4 linked regions of the Schizosaccharomyces pombe genome follow. The main gene of each other region encodes a partner of the protein of the gene in region 3 in a complex. Each region holds a gene or a part of one and is shown on either strand. Other genes may lie near its edges. The genes, in order: mug178, mrp4, mrp21 and rsm10.

What was found.
Region 1: mrp21 (region 3) and mug178 share a complex: the UniProt entries of both Schizosaccharomyces pombe proteins name them as parts of the mitochondrial small ribosomal subunit.
Region 2: mrp21 (region 3) and mrp4 share a complex: the UniProt entries of both Schizosaccharomyces pombe proteins name them as parts of the mitochondrial small ribosomal subunit.
Region 4: mrp21 (region 3) and rsm10 share a complex: the UniProt entries of both Schizosaccharomyces pombe proteins name them as parts of the mitochondrial small ribosomal subunit.

The regions. Positions count from the first base shown.
Region 1 is NC_003423.3:3,444,907-3,450,599, forward strand, and holds mug178 (mitochondrial 37S ribosomal protein bS1m), read right to left. Parts: upstream 3,319-5,693; 5' UTR 2,985-3,318; coding exon 2,307-2,984; 3' UTR 1,610-2,306; downstream 1-1,609. Other genes in the region: AP-2 adaptor complex subunit Apl1, read right to left, coding at 1-555, 600-718, 763-1,008, 1,062-1,107, 1,145-1,353, 1,400-1,426; ade9 (trifunctional formate-tetrahydrofolate ligase/methenyltetrahydrofolate cyclohydrolase/methylenetetrahydrofolate dehydrogenase), read left to right, coding at 4,061-4,197, 4,465-5,693. UniProt on the Schizosaccharomyces pombe protein: Component of the mitochondrial ribosome (mitoribosome), a dedicated translation machinery responsible for the synthesis of mitochondrial genome-encoded proteins, including at least some of the essential transmembrane subunits of the mitochondrial respiratory chain.
Region 2 is NC_003424.3:3,064,198-3,068,921, forward strand, and holds mrp4 (mitochondrial 37S ribosomal protein uS2m), read right to left. Parts: upstream 2,070-4,724; 5' UTR 2,013-2,069; coding exon 1,221-2,012; 3' UTR 1,129-1,220; downstream 1-1,128. Other genes in the region: SPOM_SPAC24C9.09 (threonine--tRNA (Thr) ligase), read left to right, coding at 1-994; sgd1 (ribosome small subunit biogenesis protein), read left to right, coding at 2,391-2,460, 2,510-4,173, 4,217-4,537, 4,585-4,724. UniProt on the Schizosaccharomyces pombe protein: Component of the mitochondrial ribosome (mitoribosome), a dedicated translation machinery responsible for the synthesis of mitochondrial genome-encoded proteins, including at least some of the essential transmembrane subunits of the mitochondrial respiratory chain.
Region 3 is NC_003423.3:615,549-620,311, reverse strand, and holds mrp21 (mitochondrial 37S ribosomal protein bS21m), read left to right. Parts: upstream 1-2,138; 5' UTR 2,139-2,173; coding exon 2,174-2,249; intron 2,250-2,343; coding exon 2,344-2,633; 3' UTR 2,634-3,121; downstream 3,122-4,763. Other genes in the region: U1 snRNP-associated protein Usp107, read right to left, coding at 1-3, 53-1,890, 1,940-1,958; its8 (pig-N family GPI synthesis protein), read left to right, coding at 3,846-3,996, 4,149-4,763. UniProt on the Schizosaccharomyces pombe protein: Component of the mitochondrial ribosome (mitoribosome), a dedicated translation machinery responsible for the synthesis of mitochondrial genome-encoded proteins, including at least some of the essential transmembrane subunits of the mitochondrial respiratory chain.
Region 4 is NC_003423.3:3,867,677-3,874,465, forward strand, and holds rsm10 (mitochondrial 37S ribosomal protein uS10m), read left to right. Parts: upstream 1-2,491; 5' UTR 2,492-2,616; coding exon 2,617-2,696; intron 2,697-2,762; coding exon 2,763-3,369; 3' UTR 3,370-3,531; coding exon of another isoform or gene 3,532-5,088; 3' UTR 5,089-5,144; downstream 5,145-6,789. Other genes in the region: mri1 (methylthioribose-1-phosphate isomerase), read right to left, coding at 1-925; protein Cwf3, read right to left, coding at 3,532-5,088, 5,147-5,962. UniProt on the Schizosaccharomyces pombe protein: Component of the mitochondrial ribosome (mitoribosome), a dedicated translation machinery responsible for the synthesis of mitochondrial genome-encoded proteins, including at least some of the essential transmembrane subunits of the mitochondrial respiratory chain.

The sequences.
Region 1 (5,693 bases), 2.8 Mb from region 3:
GTATTCATCAATTCAATTAAGCTATCTATGCAGTCATTTTTTCGTTCCTCAATTTTTATGGCAAGGTAACCAATACATTTCACTGATTTTCGAACAAGTTCGACGTCAATCTCCGAGGCGTACTCGACGAACTCAGGAAGAATTTGATCTAAGTTGTGAATATCAGCAATTTTGGTTAGGATATCCAATTTTTCAAGCTTAACGTAAATTGGGTCATCAAAGTTACAGTAAAAAAAATGTATATCATTTGCAAACATTTCTGGGCATTGTTCCAATATTATCTGAATGTTCCTCAGAATTACATATTGTGTTGCAGATGATTTTCTAGCTAGCAATGTGACAAGAGGAGGTTGGGTCTTCATAAAGTATTCTTTAACTCGATTGTCATCTTTCATGTAATTAGTTAAATAAAGAATAACCTTTACAGCCCCCATGCACACAGCTGCATTGCCGTGTTGTAACCAAGGACTAATACGTTCAGCGAAGCTTTCGGCCTCGCCAGGCTTTTGGGGAACATAAAAAATTAAAGCATCCAAAATGGCAACTTGCAGCCACCTGAATTATTAGTATAAATTTATACAGCGAGGTTAAAAACATACTCCGAACAATCAGTGAGGCTCTTAACAAGTTTATTAGATATTTCCCTACTGAATGTGAGTTTAAATCCAGTAGATGAATTTACGATATTCATTAAAGCGGCTAAAGAGTTGGCAACAACCTGATATAAAAAAATTAGTAAGGTAATAGAATCGTATAACTTACAACCGAAGATTCATCACTAAGCATTTCTTTCAAATGATCGATTAATCCTGATGACTCCACCATTTTTTTATCATAGGAGTACAATTTTGCAATCCCAATGGCTGCAGTTTTTCGAACGTAAGGATCTGTATCATCTAATAACCTTACAATTGGATCCATAGCAGCAACCCAAAAGTTTTTGATGTTTACCGATGTCAATGTTCTTAAAGCTAAGGACCTAATCATAGGGTTGGAAGAATAAATGTCCTAAAAGAGGTTAACATCCATCATCATAAGAGATGTACAAATTAGAAAATTACATTCAAAATAAGTTTAACAGCTCTCTTCGCCTCTGTGGGTTTCACGCTGTCAATTAGTAAAAAATAAAGAAACTTTTACAAACCTCGCGTAAATTTTCAAGTACAAATAGCATAGTTTTTTTAATTCTAGATTATTAGATTCCATAGAAGATATCACCGATGGAAACAGTGAACTCATATCATATCCATAAGATATGCCTGCAATTGCTTTCTTTAAAGCAGAAATTCGTTTGTTTGCAGATTTGTCCTTATTATCTGAGCTGAAGACTGCTAGCAAATCAGCAGCGGTAGACTTTTGTTTAAGTTAGTAATTCCGAATTTTATGAAAGTTAAATTACCGAAAAATGACTTGAACTACTCGACATTATAACAACATGCTATGTACGTGTTAACATTCAAAATGTATTGTGGTATAATACTGAGTGTTATTGTACAAAGCAAAATAACGAGTTACAGTAAAATGCTTGAATAAAAGATTGTACGAAGAAAAGAAAAATAATGATTGCTAATAAAACACGATTTTATCTCTTAGTAGGTACTAGAGTAACTGGGTAATTAAGAAGCAAATTCAAAAGACGTTTACAAAGTTTATCGGATTTACAATTTAATACACTGTCGGGAAGCGTTGATTGATATAAGCTTATTAATTTATTTATGCAAATTTTTTAGCACGTGCGTACATAATATAAACCAAACAGAGTTCAATATAAACGGACACCCTTAGGAACATCGTAGGTTTCCAGTAATGCGATACGGCCATAACGAAAATTACAAGAACCAAAATAAGTTAAAATCACTCAAAAAACAAACAATAAAAATTCAATCTTTTTTAAACAAGAATGGTGGGAATAATAAACAAGCTTGTTGACAATATTATTTCCTAGAAAAAGTAATAGGTGTATAGAATCTCTCCATGAACAAAAAGAGGGAGAAAAAAGCGGTTCACTACAATGCAAAATAACGGTTAAAAATATTTAATGATCTTAAAGGCATATCATGATAGCTCAAGGAGAAAGTAGTCCGTGCAATTAATTTCCCTAACTCAAAAACTCAGGATCGTAAGCAGATGAAATAAATGTTAAATATGGATGGATCTTCATAATAGACGATTATCAACAGACGAAAACAATATTAAGAAACAATTCCTTGAAAGAAAAGCTATTGTTTTAAGAAAACCGAAGTGACTCACGGGAGAAATAATCGTTTTACTGTTTTTTATTGTCAATGTCAACTTGTATTATGGTATTAAATACTCCTATTTTCTCGTGTGATATTTGGAATGGTTTTACCGGTTTCATCGACATTAAGAGATCGAATTACGTATCGATTTTTTGTTGAAGTAATTCCTTTGAGAGAAGTAGCAGCTATAACTCCTGAGACACCAAATAAACATTCTTTAGAGTCGGGTGCAAATTTTCCGTAAGTAAATGGTAACGGGACTTTTTTAGTTTGAATAAAGGATACTAAACTTAGGCGCTTCTTTTCAGAATCAGAAAAAGAATCTAAAAGTTTCAATTTGGCGTATAATATACCTGGTGGAAGTGTAGGTCTGGATTTAGGATTTGAGCTTGAGAAAGTGTTGTATTTCTGTAAAAGGTAAGGGGAAATTTGTTCATAATCATTAAGCGGAACAGGGAGCTTAAGGTCGTAAATTCGTTTCAAGGTGCGTACGAATCTGTCACTGCTGATGAAGGCACACTGATGCTCGAATGTGTCAAACTTTTGTATGGAAATATGACGGTTTTTTAGGATCGGTAACTTCCTCTTAGCTCCCCAATCGCCGCGAAATCTTTGGCATTTCTTCGCAGTAATTGCTTGTAGGATGGGAATCTTCGTATCATAGACATCAGGGGAGTTCCTCGGCAAGTCTGGTCTTGCTAAACTAACTGCTCGGGAGCATCTCAACAAATCAGGAAACTTCATTATAATTTTGATTAAAGATATACTTTGTCAGAAACATCCAAATTCTGCCCAATGTAAACCACCACCGAAAAGTAACTGCTGAACGAAAGTGGGTACTTCTAATGAGTCAATATTGTCAATATCAATAGCAATCACTCAGAAAACACACGAATACGACTGTAATTTTTTGATGCCAGCTATTTATATACTTTTGTCGTGCAATCCAGCTTGCGAAGTGTTTTACATCAAGTGTGCACACTCATGAAAAGTATATACGAGATGAAATTCTCTCTATTAATATACAAAATTATGGCCAATGTTACAATAGCTAGTTTGAAGTTATAGAATCGCTTTCGTTAGGAGGTCATGTCGGCATGTTGTGTAGTAAACGTTCACTCTCCTCAAGTAGCAATGTTACTTGACTCGCACACTGTTGGATAGAGAAACAGAGTGCTTTAATTGTTTACACTCGAGTAAACCATGACTGAGTACGATTTTAGCTTGTACTTATTAAATTTAACGGGAATTTTTTTTATAATTATAAATTAGTAATACTAAAGGTATGGCTATCATAAGAAAAGTGAAACTTATAAAGGTTAACTTTCGGTAAATTTGTGTGTTCTTCCTTGTTCATTAATGAGTTTATCTCTACTAAACTAAACTATATGATTTTTCTAGTCTAAGTTTATTTACTGATAATTAATGAGTTGCTTGTCAGATCGTTTGTTGTTTATATTTGTCTATTATATTTGATCTTGAGATTCTGTATATCATGTAACAGATTTTTAAACTTTTTCTTTGACTATTTGTGTGCTTATTAGCTATCTCAAAGGCTTAGGTATATTATTACTTGTTCAATACATTATGATTTGCAATAATGCAATTGTTCCAGTCACTATTCGAGCTTGAAGAATAAATTATACGAGAATGAATACATTGCTTTAATACAATCGCTATTAAAATGTTTCGGTTCATATTCTACTGTAAGCGTATTATTCAACATAGATTACCTGACTACCAATAAAAATTTTGCTTTAACACACCACCAGAGGACAGGCAGGTTCCCTTACTACCCTACCACTTCTGGGTGTCTTTCTATGAACGTAATGGTTTCGTTTAATCAATTACGAAACTATTTTCTAGAAAGCAACAGCTTACGGCCATCGAAATGGCTTTTTCAGTCGTATGGTACTTCAAGTTCTGCGAATATCCTAAATGGAAAATTATTGGCAAGGTAAGATAAAGTTTATATTCTAAATTTTCTCTATGCAGATGAGCGTGCATTTCTGTGTTTGTCTTTGACGATAAAATTTTGGTGGTTTGAAAATTGATTTGCGTACATTGCTTAATTCCGTATATTCTTCAATTTTTTTGTCGATACTTAGAAGTTAAAAAATTGTATTGGGCATTGCAGCACGTTTGAGGTTTCATCAGATTTTTTTGCTCTTAAAACTTTATATTTTTATTTCTCTTTGAGGTTACTAATGTAGCGACTAATTAGAAAATTACAACGTTCTGTTGCTGAAGAAGTGCAGGCCTTGAAAGCTAAGGATCGAAACTTTAAGCCGGCGCTTGCCATTGTACAGGTTGGAAAACGTGAGGATTCTAACGTGTACGTTCGAATGAAAGAAAAGGCGGCACGATTAGTTGGTATTGATTTTAAATACTGCCCGTTTCCTGAAACAATCCAAATGCCTGCCTTGCTTCATGAATTAAAAAAATTGAATGACGATCATACGGTTCACGGTGTCCTTGTCCAACTTCCTCTTCCCAAGCATCTCAATGAGCGTACAGTTACTGAATCTATCACTCCGCCGAAAGACGTTGATGGATTTGGTGCATTTAACATTGGTTTATTGGCAAAGAATGATGCTACCCCCATTCATTATCCCTGTACCCCGAAAGGTATTATGGAGTTATTAAAAGATAACAAGATTTCAGTCGCTGGATTGAACGCTGTAGTTCTGGGAAGAAGTGACATTGTCGGAAATCCAATTAGCTACTTGTTGAGAAAGGACAATGCTACAGTAACTGTCTGTCATTCTAAAACTAAAGATTTAATTCAGCACATTTCTAATGCTGATTTGGTTATAGCAGCATTAGGCAAACCCGAATTTGTTCGTGGTGAATGGTTGAAACCAGGATCTGTTGTGGTAGATGTTGGCATAAACGCTGTTCAAAGAAATGGAAAACGCGTTTTGGTTGGCGATGTGCATTTCGAATCTGCATCCAAAGTTGCTAGCAGCATTACTCCTGTCCCTGGAGGCGTCGGACCGATGACTGTTGCTATGCTAATGGAAAATATTGTAAACGCTGCCAAGATAGCTAGAACAGAAAACATTTATCGAAAAATTGACTTAAATCCTTTAGAGTTAAAGAAGCCTGTTCCTTCTGATATCGAAATTGCTAATTCCCAAGAACCTAAATTAATTAGCAATCTTGCTAAGGAGATGGGTATCTATGACACAGAGTTAGAAAATTATGGGAACTATAAGGCAAAAGTAAATCTTGCTGTTTATGAACGTTTAAAGCACCGAAAAGATGGGAACTATGTTGTTGTAAGTGGTATTACTCCTACACCTTTTGGCGAAGGTAAAAGTACAGTTGTTGCTGGTTTGGTTCAAGCTATGGGCCATTTGGGTAAGCTTGGAATTGCTTGTGTCCGTCAGCCGTCCCAAGGGCCGACATTTGGTGTTAAAGGAGGCGCCGCTGGTGGAGGCTACGCACAAT
Region 2 (4,724 bases), on a different chromosome or scaffold from region 3:
TATGAATTGTCCCGGACATTGTATTGTATATGCTAGTACTGAACGTTCTTACAAAGAATTACCCTTGCGGTTTGCAGATTTCAGTCCATTACATAGGAATGAAGCATCAGGCGCACTTTCTGGACTAACTAGATTAAGATGCTTTCATCAAGATGATGGTCATATCTTTTGTTCACCCGAGAGCATAAAAGACGAGATAAAAAATACTCTCACTTTTGTGAAGCAAGTTTATTCTTTATTGGGAATGAACAAACTAAAACTATACCTTAGCACCCGACCTGAAGAGCATATCGGTTCTTTAGATACATGGAATGAAGCAGAAAACGGGTTGCGAGAGGCTTTACAAGAAAGTGGTGAAACGTGGATCATCAATGAAGGAGATGGTGCTTTTTACGGTCCTAAGATCGATGTAATGGTTGCAGATGCTCGTGGAAAGTGGCATCAAACGGCAACTATTCAATTAGATTTTAATTTACCTCAACGATTTAAATTATATTATCGCACAGATGCGGGAGACAATGCCGGGTCTGAGAAACTCATTAAACAACCTGTAATGATTCATCGTGCTATATTTGGATCCTTAGAGCGCTTTATGGGAATCCTTATCGAGCATTTAAATGGACACTGGCCATTTTGGCTAAGTCCTAGACATGCTGTCATTTTACCAGTCAATCAAACAGATCGAATTCTAACTTATGCTAAGCAAGTACAAAAGGAATTGTCTAATCAGGAAGTCAATGAATCTGAATTTCTCCCACTCAATAAAAATACCTATTATGTGGACATAAACGCTGAAGCACAATCTATTGGCAAACGGCTACGTGAATCAAGACTTTTAAATTATAATTATGAAATTGTCATTGGAGAAGACGAAGTTGACAAAGAAATTCTCAGTGTATCTAGTAGACACAATCATAATTCAAGGGATACTAGAAAGATGACTATTCAACAATTGAAAAAAGAGTTTATAGAAAATGTGAAAGCATACCGATGATTTCCTTTCGCACAGCAAAATATGTCTGTCTTTAACAAAAATTTTGGCATCAAATCATTGAAATGTGATATATACGTTATCCATAATAATTTATTCTTTCTTTTTAACCTTTCGTTTACGAATCATTAATTTTATTGAATACTAGTGAAAATTAATCAGACCTTATCTTTAATCATGTTTAGAAAAATCAAAGAATACAGGCATTTTCAAAACAATGAGAGGGGAATCATAAAGGAAGTGTAAATTTATCTTTTTCGAAGGCTTGGTTAGCTTTTTGGTACTCTTGCTCAGCTACCCTACTCAGTAAACCAGCTATTAAATCTGTACACCGTAAAGAATCATCATTTGCTGGAATAGGATAGGTAACCATCCTTGGATCCGCATCAGTATCAATGATTCCAATTGTTGGAACATGAGTTTTCTGTGCCTCTAGACAAGCACTTTTGTTTTCTAATGGGTTTAGTATAACCATCAAATCAGGAAAGACATAACTTGGTTTTTTATCAGTTTGAATCAATTTCCCTCTATTATCTTTACATAAAATTGAACCGCCAAGCTTTCCTTGTACTTCTCTGGCATTGGTGAGAAGTCCTGGTAGCCAACGATCAAATATGTGATAACCTCTAGCACGTTTGGCAGCAGCAACGACAGAATCTTTCTGGCCGTTTCTGGTGCCAATGAACAATATAATTCCATTTTCTTTAGCTATTGATCTAACGACGGATATAGCTCTTCGTAGGTAAACCATGGTTTGATCCAATGATATTATGTGAATACCTTCTCTTTTACCATATATAAAGGGCTGCGTGTAAGGATTCCATATGGATGTAGAGTGTCCTAAATGAGCACCAGAAGACAACAATAAAGGAAGACTAAGTTGACTAGGAGGTGCCGGATTTCGAATGGATAATGTCGGTGAATAATGGGGAGCTACAACTGCACCTATTTTGTGATTCCAGTCACGTATTTTTAAACGACGAGCTACAAGTTGCTCCGGTGATAATTTCCGTGAAAGCATAATACAGACACGAATGACTCGAGCAAAATGAAAGCCCGTTTGGTGTAGTAGTACTTTAAGACTTTGAAATCGCTGCACGATTGCAACATTTCCACTTCGATATGCTTTATTAGTGTGATACTACATAGAGCGTTAATGTAAAATACAGCAGCAGAGTGACAACTTTAAATAGCATTAACAAATTGCGATATTGTATACAGTTCCATTAGCAGTGTTGTGAAATTCATTTGAAACGATACGCCAACTCGAGACTGAGGCCCAATTCTTCTCTTTGTAAAGCAATTATACCAGTTTTTGGTATCGTTTAATTGAAAAATTTGGTAGTTCTTGAGCTTTAGTATTAATTATCGTTTGTTTAATATTTAAACATTCGATAGTATGAGGCCAATTAAAAAAAGCAGAAGCTTAAAACTGCCCAAAAGTATTTTAGAAGAGATAGGAGAATCTGGTAAGCTTTTTTTTATAGATTTGGTCAGTATATTTAACCAAATTGATAGATTCGAGTGCTAGGCGGGGAAAGCGAAATCATAATCTACCTCATCGTGAAAAAAGAAAATTTGCTAGGATCTCTCGAGGAAAAAATGGTTATGAAAACCGGAAGATTACAGAAGAAGGTGATAGTAAGTCTTCTGAACTTAATGATGATTACTTAGATGCTCACAGAAAGTCATCTACAAAAAAAAAATCTTCACAGAATAAACAGGCAAAGGAGAGTAAATTACTCGATCCCATTGCTTTTCAGCATAAGATTGCTTTGGAAGAGGATGATCGTGAAATCGCTCATTTAGAAAAGATGCTTGGCATCAAAAGCAAAGATAAATCTGCTCACTCAAAAATTGACAAGGAATTTGGATGGCTTTTAGAAGACCTAGATCAAGAAATTGATGACATAGGCGTTCCGGGCACTGAAGATCCTTCATATGGTCATTCAGAAGACTCTGAAGTTTCAGACGATACAGGTGACCATGGTAGCGTTGATGAGTTGGAAAGTGAAAGGGAAGGAAATTCGGGTGAGGAGGAGGAAGAGTTTCATGGGTTTGAGTCTAATTCTGATGAATTCCATCAACCTGAAACTAAGCCGATTCGGATGGATCCTTTGAAGCCTGCAGTCCCATCCTTACCTAATGCGAACGTCGGCTCAAAGTATGTCCCTCCATCTTTACGGAAAAAATTAGGGGGAGATAAGGAGTCAGAAGATGCTCTGCGACTTCGTCGGAAATTACAAGGATCGCTAAACAAATTGTCTATCGCAAATATTTCTTCAATTATTAAGGAGATTGAAGTCCTTTACATGGAAAATTCAAGACACTCAGTCACGTCTACCATCACCAATTTGCTACTACAAACCGTAATGGGAAGAGAATCTATGCTAGATCAATTGGCCATAGTATATGCTGCGTTAGCCACTGCTCTTTACCGCATTGTAGGCAATGACTTTGGTGCTCATCTATTGCAAACCCTAGTGGAACGTTTTTTGCAGCTTTATAAATCAAAAGAGAAAGAACCTCTTTCTTCCCATAAGGAGACTTCTAACTTGATTGTATTTTTTGTTGAGTTGTATAATTTTCAACTTGTTTCATGTGTTCTTGTTTATGATTTGATTCGCCTTTTTTTACGCTCTTTAACCGAATTGAACGTTGAAATGCTGCTCAAAATTGTCCTCAATTGTGGAGGGCAGTTGCGATCAGATGACCCGACGTCTCTCCAAGATATTGTTACGGAAATGAATTTGTTATTAGCTTCAGCTGATCCATCAACCATATCTGTCCGTACAAAGTTTATGGTAGAATCGATCACTAATCTTAAAGAAAACAAAAAAACAAAAGTTGCCAATGCTAGCGCCCAATCTAAATTTGAAGCTGTAAATCAGCTAAAGAAATTTTTGGGTTCGTTAGGCAACCGCTCATTAAATGCTAGAGAGCCTTTACGAGTTACTTTAGAAGATATTGAGCAGATTGAGACGAAAGGTCGATGGTGGCTTGTTGGAGCTTCTTGGAATAATGTTCCATCTGGTGACAACACATTATCTACTGAAGCATTACAGGATAAGAAAAAATCAGAAGAACTGACGGCCCATTCAAAAATTTTACAAGCTGCTAAGAAGTTAAGATTGAATTCAACTCTTCGAACTTCGATATTCGTTGCCCTTGTTGGTTCAGAGGTATTCGTTCTAAATTTCATTAACTTTAAACTAACAAACTTAGGACTACATTGATGCATGGGAAAGAGTGCTGAAGTTGCATCTCAAAAGGAATCAATTACCTGAAATAGCTTATGTAATTTTGCATTGCGTTGGTAATGAGAAATTGTATAACCCGTTTTATGGTTTGGTAGCGTTAAAATGTTGTACATTGCAGCACAATTTGAAAAAGTCATTTCAATTCTCTCTTTGGGATTTCTTTAATGAACTACAACCAGATGATGATAGTGAAGAAAGAGAAATATCCATGAGACGCATAGTTAACTTGGCGAAGCTTTATGCGTCTTTAGTCATTGAAGCTGCACAGCCCTTAACTATCCTCAAAGTACGTATATTCTAAAAATTTGATTGTAATTACTAACTCAATTTTAGCATGTGGATTTTATGGCCATTAATGCCCAAATGCAAACGTTTTTACTGGTCTTTTTTACCGATATAATTTTGGGAGTTAAAGACGATTTACAACTCGTAAAAATATTTGAAAACTGCAAAGCAGAGAAAAACCTTTCATC
Region 3 (4,763 bases):
ATCCTATAATGTGTTAGTTTAGATACATATAAAAGTTGAAAAAATCACAAACCTCAGTAACCTTGCTCCAGTCAATTGGTAGTGCCCACAGACTTTCTGCTTCAACAGGTATCTTTTCAATAAGTGAACGAAGTCTTTTCGTCTTCTCGGCATCATTTTCTTCCATAGCAGGCTTTGGTTTTTGAGGGTTGGGAGAATAGCCTTGCGGTTCTTCGTCTTCTTCTTCCAAAAGCAGTCTCTCCGGAAGTCCAAATTCTCGTCTTTCAGAAGGAACAGCTGGTTTCTTGGTTTGTATTTTGATTTTGAAGGGACCATTTTCATGTTGAGGCATTTCACTAGTCACCAGCTTACCATTTTCGACATAATTCTCTGTCTCAACGGTTGCACCTTCTCCACGGGTACGTAGTTCTCTTTCTTCCTCCTTTCTGTCAAGAGCATCTGCGTCTTCTTCTCGAGCACGAGCAACTGCACGATGTCTAATCCAAGCAGCACGATCGACAAAATATTCGTCTCGAGATACGCGAGCTTCCTCATCGTCATCAAAAGAAGCTAATTTTTCCGAAAGATAAGTACCAAAGGAAGTGTTATTAACACGTTCTTCTTCTTCACGAGCAGCTTCTCGTTCTAAAGCTGCAGTTCGGGCCTTTTCACGATTCATCCAGCGCCGTTCCCTTGCGTAATACTCTTCAGCCTCCAATTGATCCTTCCTTCTCTTCTCTTCATAATAAGCTTGTTCATCGGAGAACGACTCGGGAATGCTATCTTCTGCTCTTAAAAAGGCATTGACTGTAGACATAGGGATACGTGAAATACGATGTTTTGACAAAAGGTTTTGTAAATCATCATTTTGCTTTCGAAGCTTTTCTTGTTCTTTTCGTGTATACTCTTTATATAAACTGGCATACTCGTCCTTAGACCTTTGTTTTTCTCGTTTTTTCATAGCAGATTGATCGCGAAAGGATCGTATTTCTTCTTCAATAACCGGTAATAATTCAGGATTAATTCCTTCTAAATCAGCAGCATTAATGGGAATTTCCGAAGTTTTGACATTTTGTAGTAATTTTTCGTTTTTCTCTCGGGCCTGTCGAGCTGCCCTTTCAATGCGAGAACGGACATCAAAATTGCCTATATCTTGACAAATTCTTTCGAGGTTAAAGCGAATTTGCTGTAAAATGTTTATCTCTTTCTGCTTATTTCTTGCATAACGACTCGTTTGCCATTCACGATACAATCCCTCATTCTCAACATCTGTAATCAATGACAAGCGAGTTGAAGGACCACCTTCGTACAAAGGTGGAACAACAAAATCATTTAATGCTTCTAATGCTCTACTGAATTGTTCATTTGATTCAAACTCTGCAAATCCAAACGAAGTCATCGAGTTATCTGCATCAGCAACCCTTCGCCAAGAAGCCAGCTTCCCGGACAATCGAAGAATTTTATCCATCCAAAAATCATCCAATTCTTTCGGTATATTACCAATAAAGAGCATCCGCCGCATTTGTTGACTATTTGGAGGGACAAACGGCCGCGATTCCCTTTCTGTTGTAGACTTCTCTGAAGAAGGTGTTTGAAACGTCTGTTTCTCCTGAATCTCATTACTTTTTTGATTTCGGGGTAAGTTTTTTCTATCTTTTTGTTGCGATTCATTATCTCTTAAAACTTGTTTTATGGGAAGTTTACCAAACTTCAGAATTGGCTGCGAAAAATCATAGGGACTACTTGCCTCAACAGGATTATCTACCAAAAAAGCGCCTTGGCCATACAATTTTTTGTATAAGCTCCTGTAATCAGGAGGTAAAGGGGCGAATACAGGTTGGATTGGGACGACATATGGAACGCCGTTGCCAACCATAGGAACCTGTGGCATCATTGGCATACCGGCAGCCTCTAAATAAAATTAGATAAATTCTTTAGCAATGAAATTGAAATTACTTACGCGTATTCTGCCGCTGCATAGTTGTTGGAGGAAAACAGATTCATGTGTATCATGTAAAGGTATATAGTGAAGTGTAAATGTGATTATCCTATTTTTAGTTTATGAATTTTATGTCTTTTACGCTAATGCAAAAAATCGATGTTCAAGGCAATTTAACGAATTCTTTATGCAGTTGTACTGCGGTGAGATTCAGGCTTCTCAAATTGCCAAGAAAACGCAAAATAACTATTTAAAATGAACAGTTCTTATTTCCCAGGTGTTCTAGGGGTCAGATGGGTACATACAAATAGGAAATTGCAAAAGAGAAAAGGTACGAAGAAAATCCATTGAAGTTGCTATTGTCTTTCAAGAATATGATTTTCGATTGTTGGATTATTGTCTGCTAATACTTTATTGATATTTAGAGGAGCATGGTGCGTTCCAAGATTCGCTTCATTTTATGATACCCGCAGCAGAAACAAAAGATTTAGGTGCAAGTGTGACAGTTGGAAATAGTCTAACAAGAGCATTTCGACAAGTTGATAGAATATGTCAAAGGAATAATGTGCCAAGGCTATTCCGTTCACAGAGATTTTATGAAAAACCATCCGAAAAGCGATCCCGCGTTCGTTCAGAAAGACACAGGGCAAGGTTCCGCGCTGGAATTGTTCGACTTGTAAACTTAGCAAAGAACATGCGTCGTTGGGGTTATTGAGTGATTCTTCGAACATTTCATTCTATTTCTTGGTTACGAAAATCCATATTAAATTAATGTATTTGGAGATCGTTGTTCTCATAGCTTTTCATTTAAGACGAGAATGCTCGAAAACCCCCTTTTGAAGTAAAATAATATATTGCTTTTTACTTCTCCGCGGATTTAAGAGCTAGACATTTTTGGGAAATATTCGTTTTTTGTTTTGTCATTTCTAAATTTTTCCTGGTATCTTTGCTTAACCCCTCCCCTATCTTATGATTTTCTACTTAACAGGATTTATTGTCTAATAACTGTCTCTACCTTCTTTTATCTTTTCAGTTTGACAATACTGCGAGATTGAGCTTAATGTTTGCATTACCCTCTAATATTACTATTCTGTTTTGCTAGCCTATAACAATTTTCTTAGTTAAATCGATGAGTTTGTTACTCTATTTATTCAAACTAATGCTGGTCGCAGGAAGTTATTACTTCTGCATGTTATAATAAATGAATTCGTTTCCTTTCGTATTGCAAATGATTTTTTTATTATTGGCCATGTAGCAGCAATTTGATGGTTGTATCCCTTTATCTTATTATAATCGTCATGAGTAAACCGACTCTCAACGTGTAACAACCAAATATGCTTACCGCTGAATTTTCATTAATCTTGGATTTGAGCAATGAAATGATAACCATCCATTTTACATTTCTGTCAACGGAAATTAAAATAATACCGAAAATATCCATTTACAGAATCATTTTTTGCTTAATTACCAGATGACTATAAGTCCCATTATTGTGCACTGCATACCATAAAGTAATTTATCACTTCCTTAATAGATTTCTGATTATTTACTCTTTCATCCAGCTAGAACTAATTACGCATATTGGCCATAGCTCACAATATACGATGGAGCGCTACCACTATTCATTAGTGCATTCAAACACGGCATCCTTAATTACAAAACTCAGTATACATTCATTAGCGTTCGCTTATTCATTAGATCGAGCGTAGATCATCTGAATTTTAACCAATGGTAGATTAAAGGGGACTTCTGTTGATGTTTGTAACGACTCAACACTCAAACGCACTTCACCAGAACAAAACACTTCTTGCCTTGTTTAGGGCATCCTTCTTTTCCAAGAAGCGTCCTGGCATCTATCCAATTTTTGCCAAAAACCCCTAGTATTCCCAGTCAATTGTGGTAGTGGTTTCACGCTTAAATTTTCGCAATGTTTGGTCGCCTCTTGCTGTTAGGGATTTTATTCCATGTCGTCTTTCTCAAATCCATTTTTGATATCTATTTCGTAACTCCTCTAATACATGGCATGAAGCAGTATTCTGCAGGCGAAGCTCCTGCTAAACGCCTATTTCTAATTGTTGGTAAGTAAACATTTGTAATAGTGAAATTAGTGTATAGAGCTTAATGAAAAAAATGTCATATTTTCGTTTTGGATTTAGAAAAAAAAACAAGAAATAGTACAACTTTTTTCTTGTCCTTCTTTTTCTTATTTTACTAACCAATATGCTTATAGGCGATGGACTACGTCCTGATAAACTATTACAACCACATTCCGAAAAGGTCATTGGAGAAGAGCAGACATATGCCGCTCCATTTTTAAGATCAATTATTCAGAATAACGGTACTTTCGGTGTTTCTCATACTCGTGTTCCCACCGAGTCACGCCCCGGACATGTTGCTCTAATAGCTGGTTTTTACGAAGATGTTTCAGCCGTCACAAAAGGCTGGAAAAAAAATCCAGTAAATTTCGATTCTGTGTTTAATCAGAGTCGGCATACTTATTCGTTTGGATCCGAAGATATTTTGCCTATGTTTAGTGAAGGTGCATCTGATCCATCTCGAGTTGATACATTCATGTATTCTTCTGAATTGGAGGATTTCTCTAGCAACGGAATTGTTCTTGACGAATGGGTTTTTGATAGGCTAGATGAACTTCTCGCTCAGTCTTTAGAGGATAAGGAACTTTGGGATATGTTGCATCGGGATAAAATAGTATTCTTCCTTCATTTACTGGGCATTGACACAATTGGCCATAATAAACACCCTGACTCAGTTGAATATGTCGAAAACATACAGTATATAGATGGAAAAATTCAAGAACTCGTTGATAAGATGAACAACTACTACA
Region 4 (6,789 bases), 3.3 Mb from region 3:
CTAGATTTCGGCTGTTAGAGTCTGTGATTATGGGGCCTGTAATCGTGGTCATTTCAATCGGAGGTCGCTGTTCAATGGTAATCTGAGAACCAGACGCTAAACTAGTGTCAATTGAAGAAAAGGGAGCAGCCACTATGAAAGGCTTTCCAAAGTGTTTTGCCAAAATAGCAAGATTATATGTGCCAATCTTGTTTGCAGTATCGCCATTACGAGTAACGCGGTCGGCGCCGACGACAATGGCATCGATTTTGTGCATAATTGAAGCAACCGTGGAATCTGTGACTAGAGTTGCTGGAATTTTATCATGAACCAACTCAAAAGCAGTGAGACGAGAGCCTTGGTTATAAGGGCGAGTTTCTGTACAATAAGCGTGTTCCAAGTTCCCCGATTCGTGTAAACTACGAATGATCCCCAAAGCTGTACCATAACCTGAGGTAGCTAAAGATCCAGTGTTGCAATGGGTCAAAACGGTGAGCTTGTCTTTATCTTTGTAATGCTGCAACAAGAATTTTCGGCCAGCAGTTCCAATATTGTGGTTGTCTTCTAAATCTTTTACTAGCATACGCTCCGCTTCCTGAATAATTTTATTTCGACAATTTTTTCCTTCTTGAAGAGCAATGCCTTGCATAAACTTTGCAGTTTCAAAAAGATTGACAGCGGTAGGACGAGACTGTTTGAGATGCTCAAAGCTATTTATAACATATTCTTTTGCATCTGCATCTTCAGAAAGATGTTTTAATCCGACAGCCACACTCAAAGCTGCTACAATAGCAATAGCTGGGGCCCCACGAACTTGCATTTTTTTTATGACAGCGAATGCGTCTTCTACATTACTAACTGAAATGTATTTACGCTCGTACGGAAGAAGTAATTGGTCTAATACAAGAAGCTTGTCCTCATTATAAATGATTGCTTGCAACGACATTCTGCCCAAATTTTTGAATATCTCTGCCTTTGAAAACTTTTACTTCACTAGCGCACGAACGCACATGCATCAGATAAAATTAAAGGATTTGATGAAGCTCGTAGCGATGCATTAATAGAAATAATGAATTAATATAAAGTTACACTGTGTAGTTTACTTAGGAACAAAAAATAGTACATTAAGTTTAATATAAATTTATAAGAAGAGTTAACGCAGTCTTTCGTACTTTTGACACTGCTTATAGATAGATAAAATTAGCAACCCTAACTTAATATTGTGCTTCTTATTTATCCGCACTATTTGATATGCATCTAACATTTTGAACGCGTAAACAAAAAATTTAGACTCATTCAAAGATGTAAGTTCCATCGTCAAATTATATTACCAAGTTATTTTGATAATGAGTATGGTGCCTTGAATTATAGATTAAAAAATGTATCACCGAATTTATTTTTAATAATGAGTCGATCTGACATATTAGAATCAAGGAATAATAATATGCATTGATGTTTTATGAAGGAATTACAGCTGTAGAACCTATGTATACAAACTTCAAACTTTTAAAGATGAGAACGATATATTTTTTTCGTTTTCCAGAAAAGCCATGCTTGAAGTATTTATCAAGATGTTCGGTAGTGTCAATTTAATAATCATATGTGCGACTTTGACTTTGACATGCAGCAAGAAGTTGTTGACACCAACCTATCTGCTTGAAAAGTGATACTCGTTTGCAATACTTAAATATATATATATATATATCAGTGATCGCAAGTCAGTTTTGAATGCAGGATTGGTAAACAAGGGTCGCAAGTTAATATATTTATATAGCTGTCTGCTGTAACAGTTTAACATACAACCTTGAAACTGTAAAACATTGAATATTTTTCATTGTTAAAGCCAATTTAAATGAGAACGATTATTGTGTTACGAGGTAAGCATTTAATTCCAAAATCCCTATGTATTCTTGTAGTATAAAGTAATTTGAATGACAAATCAGTAGATTCTTCCATAATTGCAAGTAGGATGCCAGTCCCAAACCTTTAATTCCTAGCTCAAAAGCACAATTGTTCAGTTCACACTTTTGTTAACTTCCGGAATTTGTTATTGTAAAATAATTGTCTCCTCATAATTTTAAAAAATTACATCTCATTGCTGACTGAGAACTCTCATCATACTGGTCAATTTTAAATTGTGCTGAAAGCCTTATAATCACAAATATTCATGTTTAATCGAATTTTTTTGGTTTTCTTCACTATGGTGCATCAATAATATTTTTAGTACAGTACAATCACACCCACCTTTGAATTCTAAACTTTGACCTTCAAATGCAAATAAAAAATTTATAGTTAGATCGTTCCATCATAGTATAAATTACAGAATGATATTGCTTTTTTAAAATAAATGTTACCATCTACGTGTTTTTCAAGGTATTCACGCGCGAACGACATTTAAAATGATTTCGCTCCGCTTGTTTATGTTCAATTAAAACATTGATTAATAACCCCTTAGTCCTACGATAATTGTGTTAAACTGAATATGATGGTGGATGACAAGTGTAGCTCGACCATTACTCCCCACTCCAACCAAAAAATTTTGTTAAAAAAAAACACCTTTACAGTGTTTAATTGTTGGAATTTTGTTCTTGTGGTTTTCTTAACAAGTATTTTAAGTAACCGGCTAAAATATTAATCATGAAACGGTATATGTTTGGTACATTACCTCGCGTGCAACCGAAACGTTGTTTCCAGACAGCTATTGGCAAAGAATCACCGTATGTATTCAATCCTTTCCTCTAATTTAAGCTATAATTTTGTACATTCTAACCCCAATTTATTAGCAAAGGGAACAGCGAAAAGGATCAACTTTTTGAGAATCCATTTTTTCAACAGCTTCCTTCCAACGTTGCAGCTGTATATTTGAACCCTGTTAAATTCAATCCTTCTGAAAACGACGTACTTTGTGCTTCTCTAAAAATTAAAAGCTTTGAAACTCCAAAACTTGATACGTTTACCGACTTCATTTGTCGAACAGCGTATTACATGAAAATTCCAATCAAGGGTCCACGTCCATTACCCAACAAAGTAGAAAGCTGGACTTTACTCCGATCACCTTTTATTCACAAATCTTCTCAGGAGAATTTTGAACGTATTACGCACTCTCGACTTATACAACTGTACAGTGTCAATCCAGTTACTTTAGAAACGTTTTTTAGTTATTTACGAAAATGCAACATGTGGGATTTAAAATTGCAAGCAAAAGCTTATGAATACGAATCCATCGATGATGCCCTTAAAAACTTCGAGTCACAGTCTAAGTCTACTGATAATTTCAAAGAATTGTTAAACGGTCCTTCGAAAAAAGATATAATCACACAAAATGCCGAAAAATTGCTCAGAAACGACCCCATTTACAAAGATTTGTTAAAAAATTCATCTCGAAAATAAAAATTAACTAATGTGTTTTCAATTACTCTGATGTTGGACCGTTTATTAGCAAAAATACTCTGACTGTATTCGTACTTTTTTTTTTAACAATATGACACTAGCTTTTCTTCATTAAAAGTGTTCTTTAACTAAAAACGTTACGAATAGTCCACACTTGTTTCGTTAGTTTTCCTCACCAGTAATTTTTGAAGTTTCTTGGGGATTGCTTTTCGAAAGAACAAAACCCGCAAGTGCCTTAGGTCCTTCAGATTTTTCCATTTCAAGCTGTTCCATTGGATCCATTGGTGCTGCTGCACTTTCAATTTTAGCTGCTCTCTTCGCTATATGAAGGGAATCAGTGCTAAACTTAGTTTGTACAGACCGTTTAATACGAAGCATTTCTTTAACTGTTTCTTCTGGATTTCCGTACCTTATTTCAAATTCTTGCCATGCTTTCCAATAATCCGTTTCAACTCTTGGATCACAGTATTGACTTCCATGAATATATATTAAACGAGCACGATCGATTTCACCAAGTTTCGTCTCCATTTCAGCAAACCTTAAGCACATATCTTTGACTTCTGAGTCACTCAGGGATTCAATAGCCTTCTCATAAACTGTCCTTGTCGCCAGTACACCATAATTTAATGCCACTTTAACGAGTAACACATTGTAAATAGCAAGACGGTCTGCTGTTTTAACCTTGTCGGCCGCTTTTTCTAAAATAGAAATGGATCTTTTTGCTTTGCCAAACTTTTCTTCGAAATCGGCATACAGAAGATAAATACTTTTCGAAAATTCGGGCGGACATCCTTCTAATGCTTGTTCAAATAAATCCCTGGTCCTTTCCATATGCGTTCCTTGATATCGTTTAACAAATTTTGTTAAATATAAATTCCAAAGTTCAAAAGCCACGGGATAACTAAATAACGCAACACCTCTCTCATAAATTTTAAATGAATCTTCAAAATAAGCATTCTCCTCTAAGAGATTTGCATAATTGACAACCACCTGGGGAGTAGCAATTTTTAGTTCAAAGACGCGGTCGTACAATTTGCGTGTAGTTTCAATCGTACCAACGCTTTCCTCAAGATCAAGATAATACATCCATATCTTAGATGACTTGTGTAGCCGTACTTGTGGACTGAGTGATTCATCAAAAAAGCTGATATGACTTTTTCTAGGAGCATGAACGGCATCTCCTATTAATTTTCTCGCAGCGTCAAAATTTTGATGTCGAAGTTCCATCTCGGCCCAGTCAATCCAAACTTGTGCTAACTCATTGACTGTTTTATATGGTACATGAGTAGCCTTTTCAAAAATTATCCTTGATTGTTCTAAATCATCAAAATTTTCATAAAAACGAGCAAACTCTGAAAACAATTTGCCGAGGGAGCCATGCGCCAGCTTTGGATTTACATTTTTTATAGCGTCTGTGTAAACTTGAACAACTTTTTCGCTGTCGTCTTCTAAAAACTTGACTCGGCGAAGCCATTCGTCAACGTTATTTATATTTTGCCTTAATAATACATCATTGATATAAAGCGGACGTTTGTCAAGTATTTTCTCGAGCCAGGCCATATGAAAATCGATACTTAATTCGTCATTTGCATTTCCGCTGCTTGCTTCAACTCGTGCAGATAGCCATTGCTCTTCGAATTCAACAAAAGCATCGAATATAATTGTAAAATTTCTTACAGTCATTATGTTATTCATCCCTTCATAGAATGTGCTTCTTGCCTGTACGATAAGTTAGTTTTTGCAATAAGGGGTCAATAAACAAACCAGTTAAACATACCTTCTCGTAGTCACCAATGCGTATATAATATTGTGCCAAATAAGTCCATAGTTTCCCTGCTTGATCAGAAAACCTTTTAATGCCAGCTCTAAAAACCTTTTCTACGTCTATGTTTTGCGTATGGTCAGGATGCTGAACAACTAACTCGGAAAACTCGAGCCATATCTGATAATTGCTCTTCCTTTTTGCTGATAAAAACACGGGCCGATTTAAAATATCCTCATATTGTCGAGCAGCTTCATTCCACAGCCCTAATTTACAAAGTATCTCAATGTAGTTTTCAATTGCTCTTGGTTCTACTTGTATATATCTGCGGTAGACATGGATGCAAAATAATCCTCCAATATCTTCAGCATATTTCGTAAACATGTCCCAAATATCATCGTGCTGAGTTACCGGTAAGGCGCGAAGTGCAGAGTTAAATGTACAACGAATCTTAGTGACATTTGGTTGTTTCATCAAAAATTGTAAATATAGTTTCCAAATAACAGGCATTTTATGCAATAAAATCAAAGAGCGCTCAAAACAATCGTTTACAGAAGCAAAAGCTTCGGCATGAAAATATGGGTTCAAATGTTCAACATGCGCTACACGTAGTTCCAAATAGCTTTTCCATATTTTATAGCTTCCCGGGAGTTCTGAACAAGCTCTTTCAAATAAAAGCACACGCTTTTCCAAAGTAGATCCTTCATGGGTCTTTATATATCGTAACCAACTTTTCAGAGAATATGGATCACGTAGCAATTCAAGCTCAAACGGCTCGTCATCAACATTAATTAGATCAAAATTAACTTTCAGTGGAATAACATCTCCCATTTCTAATCCTTTTGATTGTTTTCTAAAGAAGCCCGATGTAGGCTGTTGTCGTGCATACAATAGACCTTGGGCAAGTGAAAAATATGAAGTTCAATTTTAACCCCATAAGATGAAACTTAATTGAGAAAGCACATTGCTTATAAGATATAAAACAAATAAATTACAGAATTAAAAGACTGTCTATATGCCCACCTCTAGGGAATTAAGCCAAAGTATGTTGATAAATCAGAGCTACAAAATACAGCCCTTCGATTTCTATTTCATTTGTTGTAAATCACTATCCATAACGACCTTCTGCTATTTAACTACCCTTATCAGTAAACCTCTTCTGTACTTCGAATTTATTCATTGATTGCTATATTCAAATTATATTTATACGAAACGCAAAATCGCTTCACCTGGTAGATATAAAGCTAATAGTGGTGCTAATGTGACTTTTGGTCATAAAAATTAACGAGTATTCAAACTAGTTATCACTAATTAGGAGCGGCAAAAACACTAATTGTACATATAATCAGCTTACAAAAATCACATCGAAATGCCTAAATCCTTGACTAATTGTTTGCAATATATACTATAAACAAAGAAACAATCAATACTAAGACAAACTCCAAATTAATACACGAACATATATATTTGATTTATCTATTTCAAAACACAAGCAAATGCAGTAAGCCTATTAACACAATCAGATAATAGAGAGTTTCTTGGTATCAGGTTGTCTTCAAGCTTTTCTCAGAAGCAGAACTGAAAATTAAGTATCATCATACATGTAAATGGCTTTAGTAAATGCTTCGGTAAAAAACAGCTAAAATCAATTAATCTAA